5 linked regions of the Mus musculus genome follow. The main gene of each other region encodes a partner of the protein of the gene in region 5 in a complex. Links are inferred from orthologs where the notes say so. Each region holds a gene or a part of one and is shown on either strand. Other genes may lie near its edges. The genes, in order: Eif4ebp1, Gigyf2, Gigyf1, Tars and Eif4e2.

The links.
Region 1: the proteins of Eif4e2 (region 5) and Eif4ebp1 are in contact, whole or in part, in a crystal structure (PDB 5NVN), measured with the Homo sapiens proteins. The link is inferred for Mus musculus from reciprocal best matches to the Homo sapiens genes EIF4E2 and EIF4EBP1. Residues at the interface, in NP_004837.1 of Homo sapiens: Glu53, His54, Pro55, Leu56, Gln57, Tyr58, Tyr64, Arg66, Lys83, Gln84, Ile85, Gly86, Val91, Glu92, Gln93, Trp95, Arg96, Phe97, Ser99, His100, Met101, Val102, Leu107, Phe113, Glu149, Asn150, Leu153, Gly157, Glu158, Gln159; in NP_004086.1 of Homo sapiens: Arg51, Ile52, Ile53, Tyr54, Asp55, Arg56, Phe58, Leu59, Met60, Cys62, Arg63, Ser65, Val67, Thr68, Lys69, Thr70, Pro71, Pro72, Asp74, Leu75, Pro76, Ile78, Pro79, Gly80, Val81, Thr82, Ser83.
Region 2: the proteins of Eif4e2 (region 5) and Gigyf2 are in contact, whole or in part, in a crystal structure (PDB 5NVM), measured with the Homo sapiens proteins. The link is inferred for Mus musculus from reciprocal best matches to the Homo sapiens genes EIF4E2 and GIGYF2. Residues at the interface, in NP_004837.1 of Homo sapiens: His54, Pro55, Leu56, Gln57, Tyr64, Arg66, Asn81, Lys83, Gln84, Ile85, Gly86, Thr87, Val91, Glu92, Phe94, Trp95, Arg96, Phe97, Ser99, His100, Met101, Val102, Leu107, Phe113, Glu149, Asn150, Leu153, Leu156, Gly157, Glu158; in NP_001096616.1 of Homo sapiens: Leu38, Ala39, Asp40, Tyr41, Arg42, Tyr43, Gly44, Arg45, Met48, Leu49, Leu51, Phe52, Leu53, Asn56, Lys57, Ile58, Pro59, Asp61, Leu62, Asp64, Glu66, Phe67, Pro69, Ile70, Leu71, Gln72.
Region 3: the proteins of Eif4e2 (region 5) and Gigyf1 are in contact, whole or in part, in a crystal structure (PDB 5NVK), measured with the Homo sapiens proteins. The link is inferred for Mus musculus from reciprocal best matches to the Homo sapiens genes EIF4E2 and GIGYF1. Residues at the interface, in NP_004837.1 of Homo sapiens: His54, Pro55, Leu56, Gln57, Tyr64, Lys83, Gln84, Ile85, Gly86, Val91, Glu92, Trp95, Arg96, Phe97, Tyr98, Ser99, His100, Met101, Val102, Arg103, Leu107, Phe113, Ile137, Arg138, Leu139, Arg140, Gly142, Leu143, Ser145, Arg146; in NP_001362694.1 of Homo sapiens: Leu36, Ala37, Asp38, Tyr39, Arg40, Tyr41, Gly42, Arg43, Met46, Leu47, Leu49, Tyr50, Glu53, Asn54, Lys55, Val56, Pro57, Glu59, Leu60, Glu64, Phe65, Ala67, Val68, Leu69, Gln70, Asp71, Glu72, Pro73, Leu74, Gln75.
Region 4: the proteins of Eif4e2 (region 5) and Tars are in contact, whole or in part, in a crystal structure (PDB 5XLN), measured with the Homo sapiens proteins. The link is inferred for Mus musculus from reciprocal best matches to the Homo sapiens genes EIF4E2 and TARS1. Residues at the interface, in NP_004837.1 of Homo sapiens: His54, Pro55, Leu56, Gln57, Val91, Glu92, Phe94, Trp95, Arg96, Glu149, Asn150, Leu153, Leu156, Gly157, Glu158, Gln159, Met161, Val203; in NP_001245366.1 of Homo sapiens: Pro51, Glu52, Tyr53, Ile54, Tyr55, Thr56, Arg57, Met60, Tyr61, Ile63, Leu64, Glu67.

What each region holds. Positions count from the first base shown.
Region 1 is NC_000074.6:27,259,143-27,263,136, reverse strand, and holds the start of Eif4ebp1 (eukaryotic translation initiation factor 4E-binding protein 1), read right to left. Parts: upstream 2,811-3,994; 5' UTR 2,729-2,810; coding exon 2,587-2,728; intron 1-2,586. UniProt on the Homo sapiens protein: Repressor of translation initiation that regulates EIF4E activity by preventing its assembly into the eIF4F complex: hypophosphorylated form competes with EIF4G1/EIF4G3 and strongly binds to EIF4E, leading to repress translation.
Region 2 is NC_000067.6:87,325,798-87,329,800, reverse strand, and holds the start of Gigyf2 (GRB10-interacting GYF protein 2), read right to left. Parts: upstream 2,804-4,003; 5' UTR 2,709-2,803; exon of another isoform or gene 2,694-2,708; intron 1-2,693. UniProt on the Homo sapiens protein: Key component of the 4EHP-GYF2 complex, a multiprotein complex that acts as a repressor of translation initiation. In the 4EHP-GYF2 complex, acts as a factor that bridges EIF4E2 to ZFP36/TTP, linking translation repression with mRNA decay.
Region 3 is NC_000071.6:137,517,649-137,521,687, reverse strand, and holds the start of Gigyf1 (GRB10-interacting GYF protein 1), read right to left. Parts: upstream 2,809-4,039; 5' UTR 2,737-2,808; coding exon 2,702-2,736; intron 2,606-2,701; coding exon 2,476-2,605; intron 2,379-2,475; coding exon 2,283-2,378; intron 2,183-2,282; coding exon 2,071-2,182; intron 1,952-2,070; coding exon 1,843-1,951; intron 1,661-1,842; coding exon 1,620-1,660; intron 1,477-1,619; coding exon 1,312-1,476; intron 1,142-1,311; coding exon 888-1,141; coding exon of another isoform or gene 804-887; coding exon 686-803; intron 1-685. UniProt on the Homo sapiens protein: May act cooperatively with GRB10 to regulate tyrosine kinase receptor signaling. May increase IGF1 receptor phosphorylation under IGF1 stimulation as well as phosphorylation of IRS1 and SHC1.
Region 4 is NC_000081.6:11,386,401-11,389,658, forward strand, and holds part of Tars (threonine--tRNA ligase 1, cytoplasmic), read right to left. Parts: coding exon 3,176-3,258; intron 2,061-3,175; coding exon 1,898-2,060; intron 1,819-1,897; coding exon 1,681-1,818; intron 1,379-1,680; coding exon 1,301-1,378; intron 1,173-1,300; coding exon 1,072-1,172; intron 968-1,071; coding exon 863-967; intron 725-862; coding exon 652-724; intron 1-651. UniProt on the Homo sapiens protein: Catalyzes the attachment of threonine to tRNA(Thr) in a two-step reaction: threonine is first activated by ATP to form Thr-AMP and then transferred to the acceptor end of tRNA(Thr).
Region 5 is NC_000067.6:87,216,906-87,220,415, forward strand, and holds part of Eif4e2 (eukaryotic translation initiation factor 4E type 2), read left to right. Parts: intron 1-2,675; coding exon 2,676-2,790; intron 2,791-3,510. UniProt on the Homo sapiens protein: Recognizes and binds the 7-methylguanosine-containing mRNA cap during an early step in the initiation. Acts as a repressor of translation initiation.

The sequences.
Region 1 (3,994 bases), on a different chromosome or scaffold from region 5:
TATTTCTTCATGTAGAGCTTGCAGCCCCTTACAGGTCAAGTCACATGCCAAGGAGTATAGGAAGCTTAAGTTCAAGAAACCTGACTTTATGCCTGGATATGAGATCTACTTTGCCAGACTCCTAAAGATCTGGAAAGGCAAGGAAAAAAGCCGTGTGTGTGTGTGTGTGTGTGTGTGTGTGTGTGTGTGTATACATATATGTGTATATATGTGTGTGTGTGTGTGTGTGTGTGTATACATATATGTGTATATATGTGTGTGTGTGTGTATACATATATGTGTATATATGTGTGTGTGTGTGTGTATACATATATGTGTATATGTGTGTGTGTGTGTGTGTGTGTGTGTGTGCGTGTATGGGCTTTGTTTGTGTGTTGTTTATCCCTTTCCCTTGTAACTCCTGAGTACTCAAAATGGAATGTGAGCCAATCAAGCATATAATGGTTAGGCAGATGACTCAGTCCTGATTCAAGCTCATGGGCTTTATACGCCCATAGATCCAGAGGACAGAGTAGACCTCAGGGTGATTCACTTGACCTTGAACTCCCAGCTGGCCCCTGATACAAGTAAGAAAATTCAAAAGTTAGATGGATTTGCAGAGAATAGATGAGAGCAAAGAGAAATAGCCCAAAGGGTATTCAACAGCTGTTAACCCCGGAATTACCAACACTCAGTAAGGTGAGGCAGGAGGATCTCTGTGTAGCCCTGGCTCTCCCGTAACTCACCCTGTAGACCTCTGCACTCGGATTCCGTATCTCGTTGGGGTGCTAAGTGATGAGAAACATTCTGGAGCAAATGGGTCAAGCTTCTGCCCTTTAGCAGAGGCGACCTGGAATGAATGGCCTTTGGGAAAAGATCCCACTCCTTAAATTAACTGGCTTTGGCAGAAACAAGCAAGTCTTTCCTCGAGCTATGGACTGTGTGACACACAAACAACAACAACAGCAACAAAAATCTGACAAGGGCCAGCTGGCTTTGGGGACCTGACACTGCTTTCTTTCAGTTAAGAAGCAAATGCTACACTCTAAGGAAACCCCTTCCTCTTCAAAGACAACGGGAACTACCTGGTCTGCCAACGGACACTTCGCAGACCACAGTGAGAAGTGGATCAGAGTGCATTACAAACAGTACTGGCTATTGCTACCCAGCTAACCTGTTCATCCAGAAAGGGACGGGCAAGAGAGAAAATAAACGTTTCCCAGAGCCTTTAGGTCTGTATCGGTGCCTATAAAAAATAAAAATAAAAAATACACCCTGATTCACACCTCGCCTAAAAGGACTCAACTCTCTGTGAAACTTTGTGCTCAACACAAAGTTCTGCGAAAAGACAAAGGGGCAACAGCGTGAACTAAAAAGTGGCCAGCGGGGTTGAAGAACTCCAGTAACGGGAGGCCAGAAGCCTGCAGAAAACTTTTCCTTTGGGCCGTTTCTAATAAGAGGGAGCCGGCTTTCTCCCCCTGCCCTGCTTGCTACTTCTTGCTGAGTGTAGGAACTCAGCATGACGATGCACAACAGACACGTGCTCAAGCAGCGAGGCCTTGGTGCTGTGTCCTGAAGATCACAGAACCCAGTGGACACTGACTGAGCTCCAAGATCCCTTCATCGGTGCCTTGGTTCTGGGATCTGGCTGTGCTCCCTGGTGCAGGGACAGCTGCCCGAGAAAATAGGCATGTGGCCCGGCTGCGCCAGCAGTAGCCCAAGGTTCATCACCGCGCCAGGATTCCTCTTGTTTTTGAGTTGTAAGAGGAGTAGTTGGGGGAGGAGACCGGGGAGGGGAGAAGCGCAAAAGTGGGTGGGAGCGGCGCGAGGATTGGGAGGGAAGTAGTGAGCCACGAGGATTTCATCATGCAAACAGGCGGGTAGGTTTCATCAGCGTCTATACTGGGGCTCCAGGGCAAGCTGGGAATGCCTGGTTCCCGGAGGCCGGCCCCCACCCGCGCCAACTCAGCTTCCTCTTCCTCATCCTCCGCCACTTGGGCCAGTTCAACGCTGTGCCCTGCCCCCCAGGCCCGAGGAACGTGTTGTTCTGCACTACACCAGACGCCGCCCCTGCAGGAATCTCTCTCTTAACACAAGCCACAGGTGGCAGAGAAGCACCCTCAGCGTCCAGCCTCCATTAATGAGCGAGTGTCCAAAGCAAAGAGGGCTGCCTCCGGAAAGGTTAAAAAAAAAAAAAGTGTGCAGGCGTCACTTATTCCAAGGGAGATCAACTAAACTTAATCTCCAGGCCAGCCTCTTTCCCTGATCTTGTCCCACCCCAAACTGCCCTGACACCCACAGAGGTCGCCCTTAAGCACATGGTGGTCCTGGCAGAGTGCCTATCTGTATGCTCAGGGCACTCTGCCGTATCTCCCAGGAAAAGGCTAATAATGCAGGCAGTTTGCAGCCGGGTTCCAGACCACGCTCCACCACACCCAGAAGGCGAGCAACCGAGACGGTGACCCTTCTGCTTTCCCGACGCCCCTCGTCCGTTCTGGCCAGCTACCGAACCCCTCGAATGCCGCCCTCCCCGTCGCACGTGAGACTCCGGATCCCGACGTATCCTCCAGCCCCCCGAGGTCGCCCGTGACCCCGGCCAGCGCCTACCTCCCGGGGTGGTGCTGAAGAGCGTGCCGCCCGGAGTGGTGCTGTAGTCCCCGGGCGGGAGCTGCACGCCATCGCCGAGGGCTACGCGGCGAGTGGGGATGGCCCGGCTGGGAGTCTGGCTGCAGCTGCTGCCCGCCGACATGTCTCCTGCACGCCGCCCACGACCCTCCAGCAACCCCGCGGCACCTCGGCCCAGCCCTTCTCGTGCCCGGCCCGCCCCTTCCGCCTGGGCTCCACGCCCCCTGAGACTTGCGGTCCGCCCGGCCCCACCCAGCCCCAGCCCGCTGCCTGCAAGTGGTTCCCCAGCTGCTGACCTAGGCAGCTTCTGTCCTCTCCAGTGCAGGAACCCCAGTGTGGGCCCCTTGGGTTCCCTGGTTCCTCCCCGAGACTCTGGGAAGATCTAGGTAGGGATGACGGTGGCAGAACTCTCCGATTTGGTGGCAGCGTCTCAGCGCACCAGACCGCCTGCTTTCTATATTAGGATGTGACCTCTCGATCCCAGGCCGATCCTCAGAGAAGAAAGGGTGGGCTGATCCTTCGCCATTCTTAACGTTTCTACAGCTTTTACAGTTTTACAGTTTTTAGGAGTCAGAGCAGCGGCTGCACAGCGCACATTCCTGGACTTGGAAGGAGTAGTGGAAGAGTAAGAGGGACCTAGCCAGCCAGCTAGGAACCGAATATAAATCTGATGAGGAATGGGCAGGATCGAAGCTCTGCGTACTGTGGGCTGGGAGGATTAGAGTTAACCGGTCAAAGATCCGCATAGTACTTGGACTGGGTTCCACTCCAGCACTTTGTCTGGTAGTCACTAGGGAGGGAAGGGAAAATGCATGTCCAATCGGTTACAGTGTCTGTGTCAATCAATCTCCATATGGTAGGAAATGCCTATAATCCCGACCGTGAGGAGGCTGAAGCCCTAGGAGGATCCCAAGTTGACAGCCGAGGGAGGGCCAGAACCCTGTTCTCACTGTTGTCCGGGCTGGCCTGAGAGAACACACTGGGCCACCTTCCTCCCTTTGGGAGAAGCATGTTGAAAGGGGTTTTGCTTTTTGCCTTGTTTGGTTGTTCTAGAGGCCCCAGATTTCCTGGAACTACGATTTCAGGGAAGGGCCTGTTTATAAAGTCCAACATCCAAGTTCAGCATTCAAGTGGTCCACACTTGTCCCAGCAATGAGGAGACTGAAGCAGGAGGATTCTAGCCTGTGCTACCCAGCAAAACCCTGTCTCAGACACAGAAAGAAGAGAGAGAGACTTAAGCTGGGCATGCTAGCTCAGAGAAACTGAGACAGGAGCATTACAGAAAAGCTGAGGGCAGACATGGTTGTGGCGAGTTTGATGCACAGCCTGGGCCAGACATGTTAAGACGCTGTCTTAAACCGTGAAAGAGAGAGAGAAAAAAAAACACGGG
Region 2 (4,003 bases), about 110 kb from region 5:
AGCCCTGTCTGGAAAAATCAAAAACAAAAAAACAAAACCAACAAAACAAAAAGCCATTCCTTTTAAAAAGCATTTCCAGGCAGTCTAACACCAATCACATCTAAAAACTTACTTTTAAGAAATCCATTATAATTCCTGAAATAGATGAACATCCCGAGTTTTCCAAATGAACGGGAAAGGAGGGATCTTGGCTCAAGTCTATAAAACCTGATTTTCTTAAGACTTTTCCATAGATCTCAGAAACTGGGGAGACTGAGGTAAGAGAAGGGCAATTTCAGGTCAGCCTGGATTGCTCGCACACACACTCCAGCTGGGCATGGTAGTGCACGCCTTTGATCCCAGCACTTGGGAGGCAGAGGCAGGCAGATTTCTGAGTTCAAGGCCAGCCTGGTCTACAGAGTGAGTTCCAGGACAGCCAGGACTACACAGAGAAACCCTGTCTTGGAAACACCCCACCCCATCCCACCCAAAAAAAAAAAAAGACTCCAGAGCAGTGAATGGTCCACCTCATCTTCCTGCCAAAGAGGTGGGTAAATACATCTGATCAGTTTCTTTCAGTCTCCCCAGACTAGTTAGCCTCAGTCCTCTTCCTAGCAAGCCTTAGATAGGTCCCACCTAAGTTTTATCTTCTCATCTCAGGATCTTTGCCCTCTTTTCCTCTTGGTGAAGGACCCTGCCCTCTACCTATCAGGTGTTTCCTCAAATTTTAGCTTACCTGTAAAGTCTCCTCACAGGACTAAATTTAAAAATTAACCCTTCCCACAATTGTTATCCAGTCCCCCTATCTCTCTTCTTTTTCTTTTTCCCGTTACTCCTACATAAACAGATGGTCCCTACACAGAAATGTTCAACTTAACAAGAGTTTGCACTCTACTATGAGGTAAAAACAATATGGACTCAGTAGAAATCATTCTTCATATTTCTAATTATGATTTCTTCCTGAGTTAACAATATGTATGTAGTACAATACTCCCTGGCATTGCTGGCTAGGACCAGAGAGTCACAAAATCACATAAAATCTAACCATACAAGCGGGAGATGATCAAGATTCTATAGGAGGCTTTGCTGTTATTAATGGGCAGCAGACTGATAGCTTTAAATGCAATTTCAGCTTACATACTTCAACTTTCAATCAATTTAAGGGACACAGCCCAATCATCACATCAAGAAGTATTTGTATATTTTTACTTAAGTATTTAGATGTCCAGAAGTGAGCGCAACACAAACAGAAATGTTTGTCCCTCAGCATTCACACTACATACTGTAGTACTTGTAGTCAAACAGAAAAGAAAGGAAAAGACAAGAATGGCAGCATACAGTACATAATCTCTTCTTCCCCAGCCACAAAACTCTAAATCCTTTGTCAAGTACCAAAAAAGGTATGGTCTTTTTCTTTCTAGCAAATCACCAACATCTTCAACGTTGGTATTTTTCCAGACATATGTCACTTCTAAATGTTTTCCTAGTGTCTTCTTATGTGACAGTGAAGTACATATCCCAGTCTAGGCAATCTAAAAGCTGCTACATTAGGGAAATATCATTAAATGAAGACAAAGTATATGTTCTAACCAAAAGGAAAAATTCTGCCAGTCAGAGCCACAAAAAAGGATGAAAACTCATGTACAAAAAGTAGGATAATAGTTTTTGTAATTTAGGAAGTCATTTGTTACTAAAGAGGAGTAACTACATAAGGAAGACTACAATCCCTGTATACAACACTCTGAAACATAATTACCTATAATTCAAGGTAGATGGGACTAGGTGGGAAGCCATCACTGATTGAGTCCCTTCATTTCTTAAGTTATGTTGGAATACTTACCTTCCTAATAGAACCACTAGGTGTGTTTAAGTGCTTTGACTTTCGAGAAAACTGGAGGTGAGGGGAGACCGTACTAGATAAATGCAAAGCAACGTTACTGCTTCCCAAACGCGGTCACACAATCAGCTCCTTTCACACCCTTCCTTACTTGCTGGCTTGATTTATATTTCAGCTACAAAACCAAAGTGTTCAAGAGTGCTTCGTGGGAAACTGCTTGCCCATTTCAAGCCGGTATGAACATTCGGGTCCCCGGGGCTGCCCGGGGCTCTACTTTCCCAAGCCTCTCAGTCCCAGGATCAGATCATGACTCCACCTTGCCTGGGGCCTGCTCAAGACCAGTCCTCCAGCCCTAGAAGCAGTCTTCCCCAGTCCAGATGCTCGGTGGAGAAGGCAAGGGCGCACCTCCCTGGGGCAGGTGCGGGCAGGAGCGCCGGCAGGAGCAGCTGTCGGCTCGCAGCAGCTGTTAGCCGGGGTACCCCGAGGCTGTGCGGGCGACCAGCCCCGAGGAGCGGGCAGCGGAAGGCGAACCCTCCGGCCTGACACTGCCCACCCCGCCTCCCGCCTCCTCTCCTCGGCTTCCCCCGCGATGCCACGGGGGCGAAAGCAGGGGGCTGCCCTCGGCCGGGACGCTCCCTGGACTGCCGGGACCCTCGCACGGGAGGAGGCTCCTGCTGACCTCGCACCTGCCCTGTCCCCAGGTCTGACGCCCCCAGCCGGCAGCGGCCGTGGCCGCTGCCGGGCAGCCTGAGTGTGTCCATGCGGCCGGCTCGGGCCGGAGCGGCGGGGACGCGACGGTGGGCGCCGGGCCACGGCAGCTCGGGGCGCTATGGCGGGGACTGGGCGCGGGATGGCCGCGGGCAGGGGAGACACACACCGAGCCACTGGTTACCTGCGGTCCGGGACAGGAGTCTCTCAGAACCCAAGTCAATCCTCAGCCTCAACAACACAAGATGGCCGACACGTCGCCACGCACGTCACGTGACCCCGCGCGCCGCGCCGCCCCCCGCCCCGCCTACATCCCCGCCTCACTCCCTCCCTGCTCTCCAGCTTCCCACGACATCGTTCCCTTCCTCGACGGCCTGCCCCTCCCCTCGGACACGCCCCTCCCTGAGACCCGGATGCAGGGCCGGGCGAGGACGGAGCCTGAGTAGCGCAGGCGCACAGTGGGGCCTTTGGCTGCATCTCCTATGGCCCTAGAGTTGAACTGGTGTCCCTAATTGGAGCCTGGCCAGAGGCCCTATGACTCACCGTCCGATGCACCCAATCCAGTGCCCGGTTGCAGTACAAAAATCTCCACATCATTTATGAGCTGGTTTTCCAAGCTAGAACTTTTCCACAGCATTTGGTCTAGCATTTTCCTGCCAGTTGGTCCATCATGGGGCAAATGGTAAAGCTGAAATTCAAAGCAGTTTCCTTTCTTATAGAACTGGAAATTCATCCTGGAGTACTGGAATGTGACAGCTGGGAAGGTTTTAAAAGTTCCTACACCTAGCCAGGCAGTGGTGGCTCACACCTTTAATCCCAGCACTTGGGAGGCAGAGGCAGATCGATTTCTGAGTTCAAGGTCAGCCTGATCTACAGAGTTCCAGGACAGCCAGGGCTATACAGAGAAACCGTGTCTCGAAAAACTAAAAAAAAGTTACTACACCCTTCCACTACATGTGGACCTACAACCCCCTTATATATACTGCCTTCCCATTTTAGGGTTGCGAGATAACGAATAGTAAACCCGGCAATACAGAATACAGGAAATTAATCTGCTGTCTTTCTGAAACTCATGTTTAGCTGGACATACTATATACTTTGATTTGCTAAACCTGGTACATCTACCATTTCAAGTCACCCGGGTCTTTCTGGGACCATTAGTCTTTTCCTGCCTTTCTACTACCTTTGGTGTTTGGGATCCACTCAGTTTCACACAATCACTGCAAAATATCCTCCAGCATTTATCATAGGTCTTCCCATCAACATAAACTTAAGTTTCAGAACACAGTGGCAGACTCCCAACCTAGTCGTTTGGGAGCCCTGGATTCAACACTTGGAAAAAAAATACACACACACACACACACATACATACATACATATATATATATATATATATATATATATACCAACTTCCTCCTCTGCCTCCCTTCCTGAGTCTTGATTCCCTTTCAAAGAGAGACTGTATAAAAGAGCATTAAA
Region 3 (4,039 bases), on a different chromosome or scaffold from region 5:
CAGTTCTCCTATGGAAACACGGAAAGGACAGGAGATCCGCCATTAAGTTTGTAAGCCTAGCTTGGCACAGACAAAGAACAGAGATCCTACCATATACAAGGTGAAAGGCAAGGACACTTGTCCTCTGACCTGCCCACATACACAGGAAAAGACAACTGCAGGGGGTGGTATCTGAGGCAGTGCAAGTCAACACGTGTGACCTTGGGTAGTGAGTCTATCCTTCTGACTCTGGTCAAGCCCTAACCAAGCACGAGCACAGACATAGAGAACCACGCAGTCCACACTAAGCACGCTGGCCCTGGTCCTGCGCTGAGAGAGGGGAGGACCTACATGTGGTGAGGGGCTGTGTGCTCACACCTAACAAAGATTTCTCTGCACACCTGCCTGGGCCCGCCCCGGCCCGCCACCCACCCCAGCACACGTGCTGCAGGCTAGAGGACAACCTGGTGGAAATGGTTCTTCTCCCCTCTCTCCTGTGGGTTCCAGGGATTGAACTCACAGCATGATGCTTGGTGGCAAGCCTTTCACGTGCCAAACCGTCTCACCACTCCCGCCTGAACGTTTCTAAGCGGCCTGACCTGACACATGGGCGGCCAGTCAGCAGCCAGCTTAGCAACACATCTCTGCCAACTTGCCCCAGCCCGAGCTTCTCAGGCCTTGTCCCTGCACCGCTATGAGGGCTCACCTGCCTCAGGCCTCTCTTCATCCACCCCTTCTGACGGCTCCTCCTCCTCCTCCTCCTCCTCCTCCAGGCCCCGGAAATCAAGCTCCTGCTCCTCAGGGATGGCTTCCTTGGGGCCCTTCTGTGTGGGGAGGGCAGAGTGGACACAGTGGGAGGGCAGCCAGGGGGCAGCTGCCACCACCCCACTGGCCCCTGAGATGAGTACCTTAAGGGGCAGGAAGGCTCCGGAGGCATCGAAAGTGCCCATCTCCTCATCCTCATCCTCCAGGCACCACTCGGGGAGCCCATCCTTGTCATCTTCAAAGCCATCGAGCCCCCGGCATCTCCGGAGGTGAGAGTTGCCGCCCCCAACCCGCCCATCCTCTTCACCACACCCTCCGCGCTCCCCTCGCAAATCAAAATCAAACTTGCGCCTCCGCTCCCCATGCTCCCGCCAGCCAGCAGAGCGGGGACCACCATCTGAAAGAGAAAGTTGGAGAAGGGCAAAAATCCTCTAGTGCCCAGCCAAGCCAAGCCCCACCTTCTCCAGTCCACCAGGCTTCCCCTGGGATCTTCTTGTTCCTCGCGTGCATGGCACCTCTTCCCTAGTATCGCCAGGATATCCTGACCCCACCTAGCCCCCATCTTACCAGGGCTGGTGGAACGCCAGCGATCACCATCTCGCCGGGGTCCCGCCCCAAGTCTCCAGCTGCCATCATCCTCTTGCTCCTCTCGAAGTGAGCGCCAATTCTCACTGTCTGAGCGTGCATGCTCCTTCCTTGGGCCAGCCCCTCCCTCCTCAAAGCCAGACCGTACTGGCACAGGGGAGACAAACAGTAAGCATGGATGAACCTCAAGAGAGCTTACTCCTATTAGCTCCCCCCCCATCCCCCTACCTGGGAACCCCACCTCCACTGCCTCCCGACCATGCTGGCCACCATCATCAACACGCTCATACCTCCATCCCTCCTTGCAGGCTTCTCAAACCGCCTCTCGCCTCTGTGAAGAAAGGCGTCGGTCAAACATCACCCTTCCCCAGGGGGTGCTAGGCTGGGTAGACACGACCCAGGGGCTCTGATCAGGGCTGGCCTGCTGGGTGTCTCTGGTCCCTCTAGTCACCCTATTCCAGCTCAGTGGCACTCCTCCGTTCTGCCCGTCTCTCTCCATCTTGTCATCCCCACCTGTCATCCCAGCTTTGGCTTCGCTGGATCTCCCGAGGATTCCTTCCGAAGGCCCCATCGCCTTCCTCAATGCTTCTTTGGTAAAAGCAGCTGTCACCACGGCCTCGCCCTGAAGAAGAGGGTTTACACTGGGTCTGGGACCCTCCAGTGTCCCTCTGTATCCTTGCCACCACCCACTCCAACTCTGCCCACCTCCTCCCCTAAAAAATACGAGGAGTCGCTGTCTACCTCGGCTCCGAGTGCTGCCCCTGCCACGGGAGGTGGCAGGCAAAGGGGGCCCAGCCCCTTTCCCCATCAGTCTCAGCACAGCCACACTGTTCACCGACAGCGAGAAGTTTCTCTGAGGAGGGAGCCAGGGATGGCAGTGAGGACCGTCACCCAGTCAGCCCCCATCTTCCCAAGCCCAGCCCCTCCCTCCTCCACCCTAGGCCCAGCCCCACCTGCTCCTCCTCAGTCAGAGGCTCCAGAGCCAGAGGTTGCAGCGGTTCCTCTTGTAACACTGCAGCAAACTCCTTGTCCTGTAGTTCCTCCGGGACCTGGGATGGGGCAGGAGGCCCAATATATTAACCACTCAGAGGCAACTCACAGATAAGGCAAATGGGCGAGGGAGCTGTGCTCCATCCCAAACCTCACCTTGTTCTCCTTGACATAGAGGGCCAGCATCTCCTCTCGCCCATAGCGGTAATCTGCCAGCTTGTATTTGGGCATGGCAGGAGATGGGGGTGGAGAGGCCACGCTGCCACCACTCGAAAGGGCTCTCAGCCTAAAACAGGTACAAAAAAAAAGGGGAGACGGAGGTCCACGTGGCCCTTCACCCCTACACCAGCTTTTCCCCTGGACCAGAGCTTAAGTGACCCACCACTCAGGCCCAAAGTTGAGTGTCTCTGCTGCCATTGTGGAGCTTCGATGCTTCTCAAAGGTCAAGGATGAATGGCAGAGACAGGACCAGGAGAGTACTGTCCAAATACCTGTAGGGTCACAGACAAGTCATGAGTAAGCTGGTGCAGGGCAGATCAGTCATGGCGCCAGCACTTTGCTGGGCCAGTGACAGGCCTCCATCTAGACGGTGAGACATTTTGGCATTGAACTCACCTACACCAGACAGGTGACCACTCACACCATGAGTTAACCAAAGCTGAGTCAGGGTAGGGGAGAGTCCTAGGGAGTGAGGGAACACTGAAGCCTGAGCCCCTTCCAGCTCAGTGGGACGCCCTCTGGTGGCCCAACACTCACCTGACAGTTCTGTCCAGGGAAACAAGGGCTCTCTGGTCTCACAGGGGCCGGGCTGCGCTGAACTAGGATCCCCAAGCAACTAGCTCTAGCCTCTAAGTGCCTGGGAGAAACTTTCACATCTGGGAGAGATCCTTAGGGAGAAGAGGAGGAAGAGAGAGGTTACCCCAGTGAATTAGACAGTCTCCCAGCCCCTGGCCCACAGCTGCCGGGTACAGTGCACTCAGGAGAAGGGACAATGTGGTCATTGGTCAGAGGTGCTCTCATGGGATGGCTGAGGTAACCAGTGTGCCCAGAATACAGTGAGGATTTTCAGCACAAAACTTAAGCCTGCTTTGTAATGCCCATGTTTGTAATCCCAGCACTCAGGAGACAAAGGCAAGAGGACTGCAAGTTCCTGGGACAACCTGGGACAGCACACAGTAAGACTATTCTGAAACAATCACTGGACTGGGGATATAGTTTGGCTGGGGGTGGGGGGGCACTTATTCACCATACTTGAAGCCCTAGACTCTGCCCCCAACACCACACCAACAAGGAATATAGCACCCGGCTTTGATCCCAAACACTTGGGAGATAGAGAGAGGCAGGAGGTTCAGAAATTTAAGGTCACTTCTGGCTACATAAGAGTTTAGGGCCAGCCTGGGCTATATGAGACCCTGTCTCAAAAAATAAGACAGGCAGGCATTGGGGCCGCTTATGTTCTATAGAGGAATGGTCCATTTTATAAAGCAGTATGACAAGCCTTGGAACAAGCCAACTTCTCTAAAGAAAACTTAGGGCATCTGTCTGAGGGGGCTGGGTTTCAGCACAAACTAAGCAGACAGGACTTCCAGAGCCACAGGTACTCACTCCACTCACGGTAGGCTCTGAGCAGGTGGGTGTGGCCACAGGAATAGGAACCAAGACCTAAACTCCTACCCTACATCAACAACTGCCCCTCAGAAAAAAGGTCAAGGTGGGAGCA
Region 4 (3,258 bases), on a different chromosome or scaffold from region 5:
TTCCACCATGCCCAGCCTTCTTTACTGACTGCCTGTTAAGCATGTGTGATTCTTTAACATGAAGCAATCATAGAGCAGAACTAATTGTTCTGGTCTTTAAGGTGTGAAGTTCACCCTGATGTTTACACAACTGCTAGAAGGGCAAGACACTGGCCAGCCATGACAGCAAGATGGAAAAAGTTTAAGCCACTGAAGAAATTTACATTAACAAATGAACAAATCAGCAAATATCAGGCACTTCAGTGGGATGTGTAATTCTAATACAGTTTAGGCTATGCGTCCTAATTAATTTCTTTATAACACCAAATGTTAAGATAGACAAGTATATTTGAAACACTAAGCAAATACATGGGTCACAGAACCACAAAGACAAAGCTCTAAAGATGTAACACTCAGGCCTATCGGACATAGACGCTACAGTCTTTGAAGCAGTGAGCCCGCAATTTGACAAGGAGACATGGCTCGCCAATTCAACATCTTAGAAGCATAGTTACAAGGATGGGTGTGTGGCACACACTGGCAATACCACCTATTCAGGGACTAGGACAAGAAGCTCAGTCCAAGGCCATTGTTGACTATATGATAAGATTCCCACTGCAAAAAGCTTAAGAACAGATTCAAACGGTCAGAAAAATCCGACTTAAGGATTACCTTTTGGGCATATTCATCACATGTCGGTCCCACTGGGACCACCATCACCTGGCGAGGAGAGAGCCAGAAAGGCCTAGGGAGGAAAAACAACAGCGAGCGTGTTAGACGTGACCGATTAGAATCACCTCCCTCCCGACTTCCTACGTGTAGTTTAGAAGGAGACGTTTCTTCTGGATTTAACTGGATGAGAAAACCAACAGAAGACCCTTACCATTTGCCCCCATAGTTTTCTGTGAGGATGGCAATCATTCTTTCCACCGACCCCAGGATGGCTCTGTGAACAATCACTGGCCTTTTCTTATCATCGCCATCGTGGCTATGGAAGAAAAGGGATTTGTTTTATCATATGTATATATGTATGTATATGTGTATGTATATGCAGAGCCTGCAGAGGGCTCAGGGCAGATACCAGCAGCTCACCTGACGTAAGTAAGGTTAAACCTGATGGGCAACTGAAAGTCCAGCTGGATGGTTGCACACTGGTGGTAGCGACCGATGGCATCTTTTATCTGTATGTCAATCTGCAAAGCAAGCACTGGGTTATGATCAGCTCTTCTTACCTTTCTTTTATTTTCTTCTTCCCAACTCCAAGTAATGTTTCTTACGCACAACTAGAACTCGCATTACCCGAGTATTCTCGGCTACTGACCTTTGGCCCATAGAAGGCTCCATCTCCAGGATTTAGTTCCCACTTCTCACCGAACTCATTCAAACTGTTTTCAAGTTGCTACAGATAAAGCGGAAAGGATGTGAGCTGTCGTTCAGCTGCAATGCCCCCTCTTCCCACCTGATTCGGAATAAAGCCCCTGGGTGTTTCACGCCATCCTCCTAATCAAAGCGTGCTTGAAAGCTACAGCTCAGGAGCTGACAGAGTCCGAAAGCATTGGGTCCACTCTGAAGGACAGGAAGACCTTACAGAAAACATTCCCTCACTCGACACCAGAAACTGCCATTTTTCTTTGCCCCATCTATCTAAGAAGACTTCCTAGCACTGTGTAAGTTCTCAAACACACCAAAACCAGCACTCACTTTCTCAGCTTGGTTCCATATTTCAATATCTCCAAGGAATTTTTCTGGGCGAGTAGAAAGATTCAATTTAAATGAAAATCCAAAGACACTATATACTGTGCGAAGAAAATCCAAACAACCTTTGATTTCATCTTCAATCTTAAGGAAGAAAGAGAAACGGTTATCTCCCTTCACCTGTAACCCTTCTGTCAGAGCACTGCTCCACAGGGCAGTATACCTGCTCCATGGCACAGAAGATGTGTGCGTCATCCTGCTGGAATCTTCGGACCCGTGTGAGCCCGGTGAGAGCCCCCGAGAGCTCATTCCTATGCAGCACACCAAAGTCAGCTAGCCGCAGGGGCAGCTCTCGCCAGGACCGTGGCCGGTGATCGAACATCAGGCTGAAGGAGAAAGCAAGGCAAAGCCCTAAGGTCAGGGTGAAGGATGCAGCCCGTAGCAGAGTGCTTGCCTAGCACCTGAGAGAGAGGCCTTTCAGAGACTCACGGGTGACAATACAATTAGCCATTTTGATTGTTCACAAGAACACAATTCCTCAAATATTACATGTAACAGCTTGAAAGGCTGTCAGAAAGCCCCTGATCTTAGTCAGTCACAAGCAACATCTTTCAAGCCCCAGGCCTCACAGAGCAATAGAAGCACTTGCCTGAGTTACAGAGCAACCAACTGTGGCTAAGAGAGGATAAAGCAAATGTACCGCTGAGGTCTAAGGCAGGCCCTGTACGTAGCTTTCCATTCATACGAAGACTATGGTCAGTTACTAGGAAGACTTGATGAAGAAATAGTTTTAGCTGCACACACATTACTTCTAACACTGAAAACTAATATCAGGCTTGCTCTAGTTGGGCCCGGGTGCCTCAGAAACTTAATGCTGTGAGAACTAAGTGAAGGGCTCTGCTTCCCTGGTGTGTACAAGTCAGATTCTTAAAGGCACTTCTCTTAGCAGCTCGGCCGGAATGACCTGTCCACAGAGCTGCACACATGAACACACTCATCTACACCCTCGGAGCTCCCTGAAGTCACTTTTCATCCGCCTTTCTCAATCCAAGGCAGAGTTTTCCCTTCTGCTTCATGGCATAGATATTCCACTACTCTACTCTGTTCTCCACAGGATCCACAGACCTCTTCTTAGTCTCCTTTCTACACTGATACTGTATATGTACACACACACACACACACACACACACACACACACACACACACGCCTCTTTCAAAGGGCTAAAGCAATCCAGAATGATTTATAGCACAGGAACATCTTCCCTATCAATGCAGAGCTGCAGGGCTGGAGAGACGGTTCAAAGGTTAAGAGCCTTGCTACTCTTCCAGAGGACCCAGGCTCAGTTGCTAGCACCCACACGGCTGCTGACAACCACCTATAACTCTAGCCACAGCACCCTCATCCCAACTCTGCAGCAACCCAGACATGTAGCATACACTCAACATAAAGACATCCAGGTAAGTTTAGCAAAAAGAAAGAAAAACACAGAGCGCTTGATACCAGTGTCCCGGGCAGTTCATGGGCTTAAGTGCAAACTGCTCCTTCTCCACCTCAAAGGAGAACATGTTCTCGCTGTAGTGCTG
Region 5 (3,510 bases):
AAGGCCAGCCTTGATTTGGTTCCTATTTTATATGGTTCTCTTTCTGTCATTAGCTTTTGGCCTATTTTTAAGTGTTTCTAAACTACCTAATTTGATGTTTGGAGATCCATCCCTTAAACATGTTTGTTTTATGTTCGTGTGTGTTGCTAGAGATAAGAGTGGAAAATTAAAGTTCCTCCCTGCACAGAATTTGCCTAGTTCGGACGGTGTTGGGAATTACCTGGACAGGAACTTGGAAAGCTAACCCAAGTGTCACTTAGTCTGAACATGAATTGGATAGGTTAGCCTGCAGAGTGCTGCTGCTTTAAGCCAGGAAGAACCGATTCTGAAAAGCAGGCCTGCCTTTGCTTAGGTCTCTGCTTATGTGCAGAGAGGAGATGAAAGCAGCCTAGGTATGGGGGCACACACTCTTAAAATCCCAGGTAGACGAAGCTCTGAGTTTAGTGCCTGCCTGGTATACATAGTGAGTTCCAGGACAGCCATGGCTACATAGAGAGACCTCTTTTCATAAGATGTGAGAGAAAGGGAAGGGGGGGGCAGGAGAGAGAAAGCAATGTTTATTGGTAGAGTCCTTGCCTTCTGTGAAGGAGGTGCTGGATTTTATTACCAGCACAGCCAAAACTAAAATAAAGGTCAGGGCGTAAAAAGACAAAATGAAGTCCATTGAGGTTCCTATTTGCTGGCTTAGAAAGGAGTCTGAGATGGCTTCAAAATGATAATAGCATTGTTTCTTCTCTGCCTTAACTGTTTTTGTTTTCTTTTTGTTTCCTAGTAGTGTCTAAAAGAAAACCACTAGAAAAGAAAGGAATAGAACACTTTTCTTGGGCTGGCAAAAATGAGAAGTCCTAGGTGACTGTCCTTCTTCAACCAAACTCTAGTAAAGTGACTTTAGAGGCTGTAGTAGGAATTAGGAGCTGAAGAGAAAACAAAAGGGCTTGTGTCCCTAGATGAGACTGAAGCAGTAGAAAAATCCATGAGATATTCTTGTTCAAATGAATGGACACAGCAGGGTGGAAGGGGTTCATTGGGAACAGGCAGGGAATGTTTGTAGACATGCTAACAGAATGGCCCTTTGCACCTAGTTGAGCCTTTGTATACCTTATCTCTCCTCAGTTCTTGGAGGACAGGTACTCTGGTACCCGGTGAGCTGCTTGGTAAATGTTGGTAATTTTTAATCCATGGGTCTTGTGTCCAAGGCAGGCTCGACTTGAAAAGGAAACCAAGCAAAACAAGTTTAACCAAGGGAAAGGAAGTTTACTAAGCACTGGTGATACCTCTGAGCAGCAGACAGATGGCAGTGTCCAGCTCTGCTTGCTCATCAGTTCCAACACCTTTCTCTTTCTGGATTGCCTATTCCTTTTGCTCCGAGTCTTGATTCTTTCATGGACCCTAAAGCTGGCCTAGCTTCTAAATTCTTGGTCTTTGCTCTCTTGGATGAAATCAATGTAGAGAGAGAATTCTTTATTTTGAAAAAAGGTTCTGAGGCCTAGGTTACTAGGCAGACCAGACTACCCTTTGCTCCTATGCCTTACCTAGTTGGGTCTTGACCAGGGTGGGGATGGGGAGATCTGTATCACAGGGAATGGCTACATGAGTATCTCTTGCAGTATGGCTGCCTGTTAGGCAGAGCAGGTACCCCAACACATGACTTATTCATCCTATTATTTATAGGTGTATTTTATACATTAGGTATTAAAGATTCCAGTGTGTAGGTTCCCGTGGTTGAACTCAGTCTGCAAGCTTGGGCACAAGAGCCCTTACCCTCTGAGCAAGCTGAGCAGATTGAGCAAATGCACTTTTATCTTTGTGCACTAACATGCTTGTTTTTGTCTGCATCTGGTGGGTCATAGGTGGTTTCATGTTTGACTCTACTTATGAGACAACATATCCACGCCTCCTTTTGTTTTCATTTAGCCTTTATTCTGTGTCATCTTGTTTTGGGTGTCAGTGATACTGAGATGAAGTATGATATTGCTCTAAAGAAACCTCAATGTCTTGAAGAAGAAACAGGCAGGAAGGATTTGCACCTTGAGCTAGAAGCGAGGTGTTTGCCAGTGGGAAGAGTTGTTGGAGAGGAGACACAATTTCTAAATTTTTGTGAAAAGCACTTTGTGTTGTGTGCTACTCTAGAGGATAGGTAATTAGGAAGTTGGCAGTGGAGCATCTTAAGGTTGCAGGTTCAATAACAGACTCACACCTAGAAAGTGTAGAGGATGGATGGAGAAGAGAGACTGACATCAGACCTGCTTATAGACTGATGATGACCTATTTGACTGGAGAAGGATAATGGCCTAAGGTGTGGAGTGAGGACAGCTAGGAGAGAGATGGGAAGGAGCAGTATACAGATGGGCAAGTTTAACTTTCAGATGTCAGGGGAATTATTTGTCCAGAAATTCTCATTACGAGTTTGTCTTTGATAACAAAAAACATCTCTTTAACTGCTTTGTTATGCTGTTGGAAAACAGAAAGCTGTTCGCTAGAGTTCATGGGGTAGCTAGTTTAATAGTTTTTTTTAATAGTTTTTTATTTAATATTCCTGGTTTGCTTTTCCTTTTGCCTTTCAGATATGCCTCACAGGCCTGGGATTCAAGTGACTTGGGCTATGACCTTGTGGCTTTGTTAGGTAACTCAAATAGTTTAGTCATGGAATGACATTATTTTGCTTTCCTATGTAGCTTAAAAGATGATGACAGTGGAGACCATGATCAGAATGAAGAAAACAGCACACAGAAAGATGGTGAGAAGGAAAAAACAGACCGAGACAAGAGCCAGAGCAGTGGCAAGAGGAAGGTATGTTTGGGGTGATGATACAGGTGTAGTGAGCCTTGGTTATCTCATGGAGTCTCTCTATAGCAGATTCCCTCTTTTGGAATCTCTGATTGTTCTTAAAACAAGGTTGAGGGGGCTGGACAGACTTCTCATCCCTGTGCTCTTGTGCACACTCTCAAACCCATACACAAGAAGATCAGGGACTAGGATGTCACTCTGTGAGTGGTATATATAGTATAAGGCCTTGAGTTCAATCCCTAGCACTGAAGAAAGAGGAAAGGTATGGAGAGGGAGCAAGAGGGTAAAAAGGAGGAGGACATGGGTCACTGGGTGTGGTCAAAGCCTGGTAGAGATGTGTGGAAATGTCACAGTGAAATCCTTAGTATGCCAGTCTTTAGTAGTGGATGTTGGGGAGGTGGTACTGGAGTGGGCATATGTTGAGATAATGAATACCCATCGTGTTATGAGAAAGGCAGAAAGTTGTGTTACAGCAACTTAGAATCAGCTAACTAGCAAAGAGTATACTGTGTGAGCAGACTTCAGAAGGTTGCAAATAATTGAAATTATGGTATTATTTTCAGTTGTGAAGGTGATAAAGAAATACACTTTAAAAAAAAACAAAAACAAAAATCCACAGTCTGGTTGTGTAGCCCTGACTAGCCGGGAACTCAGTCTGATAATGAAGATGATCTCTGACAGTTTTCTGTCTCAGCCTCCCAGTACTAGGATAAAGATTGTGCC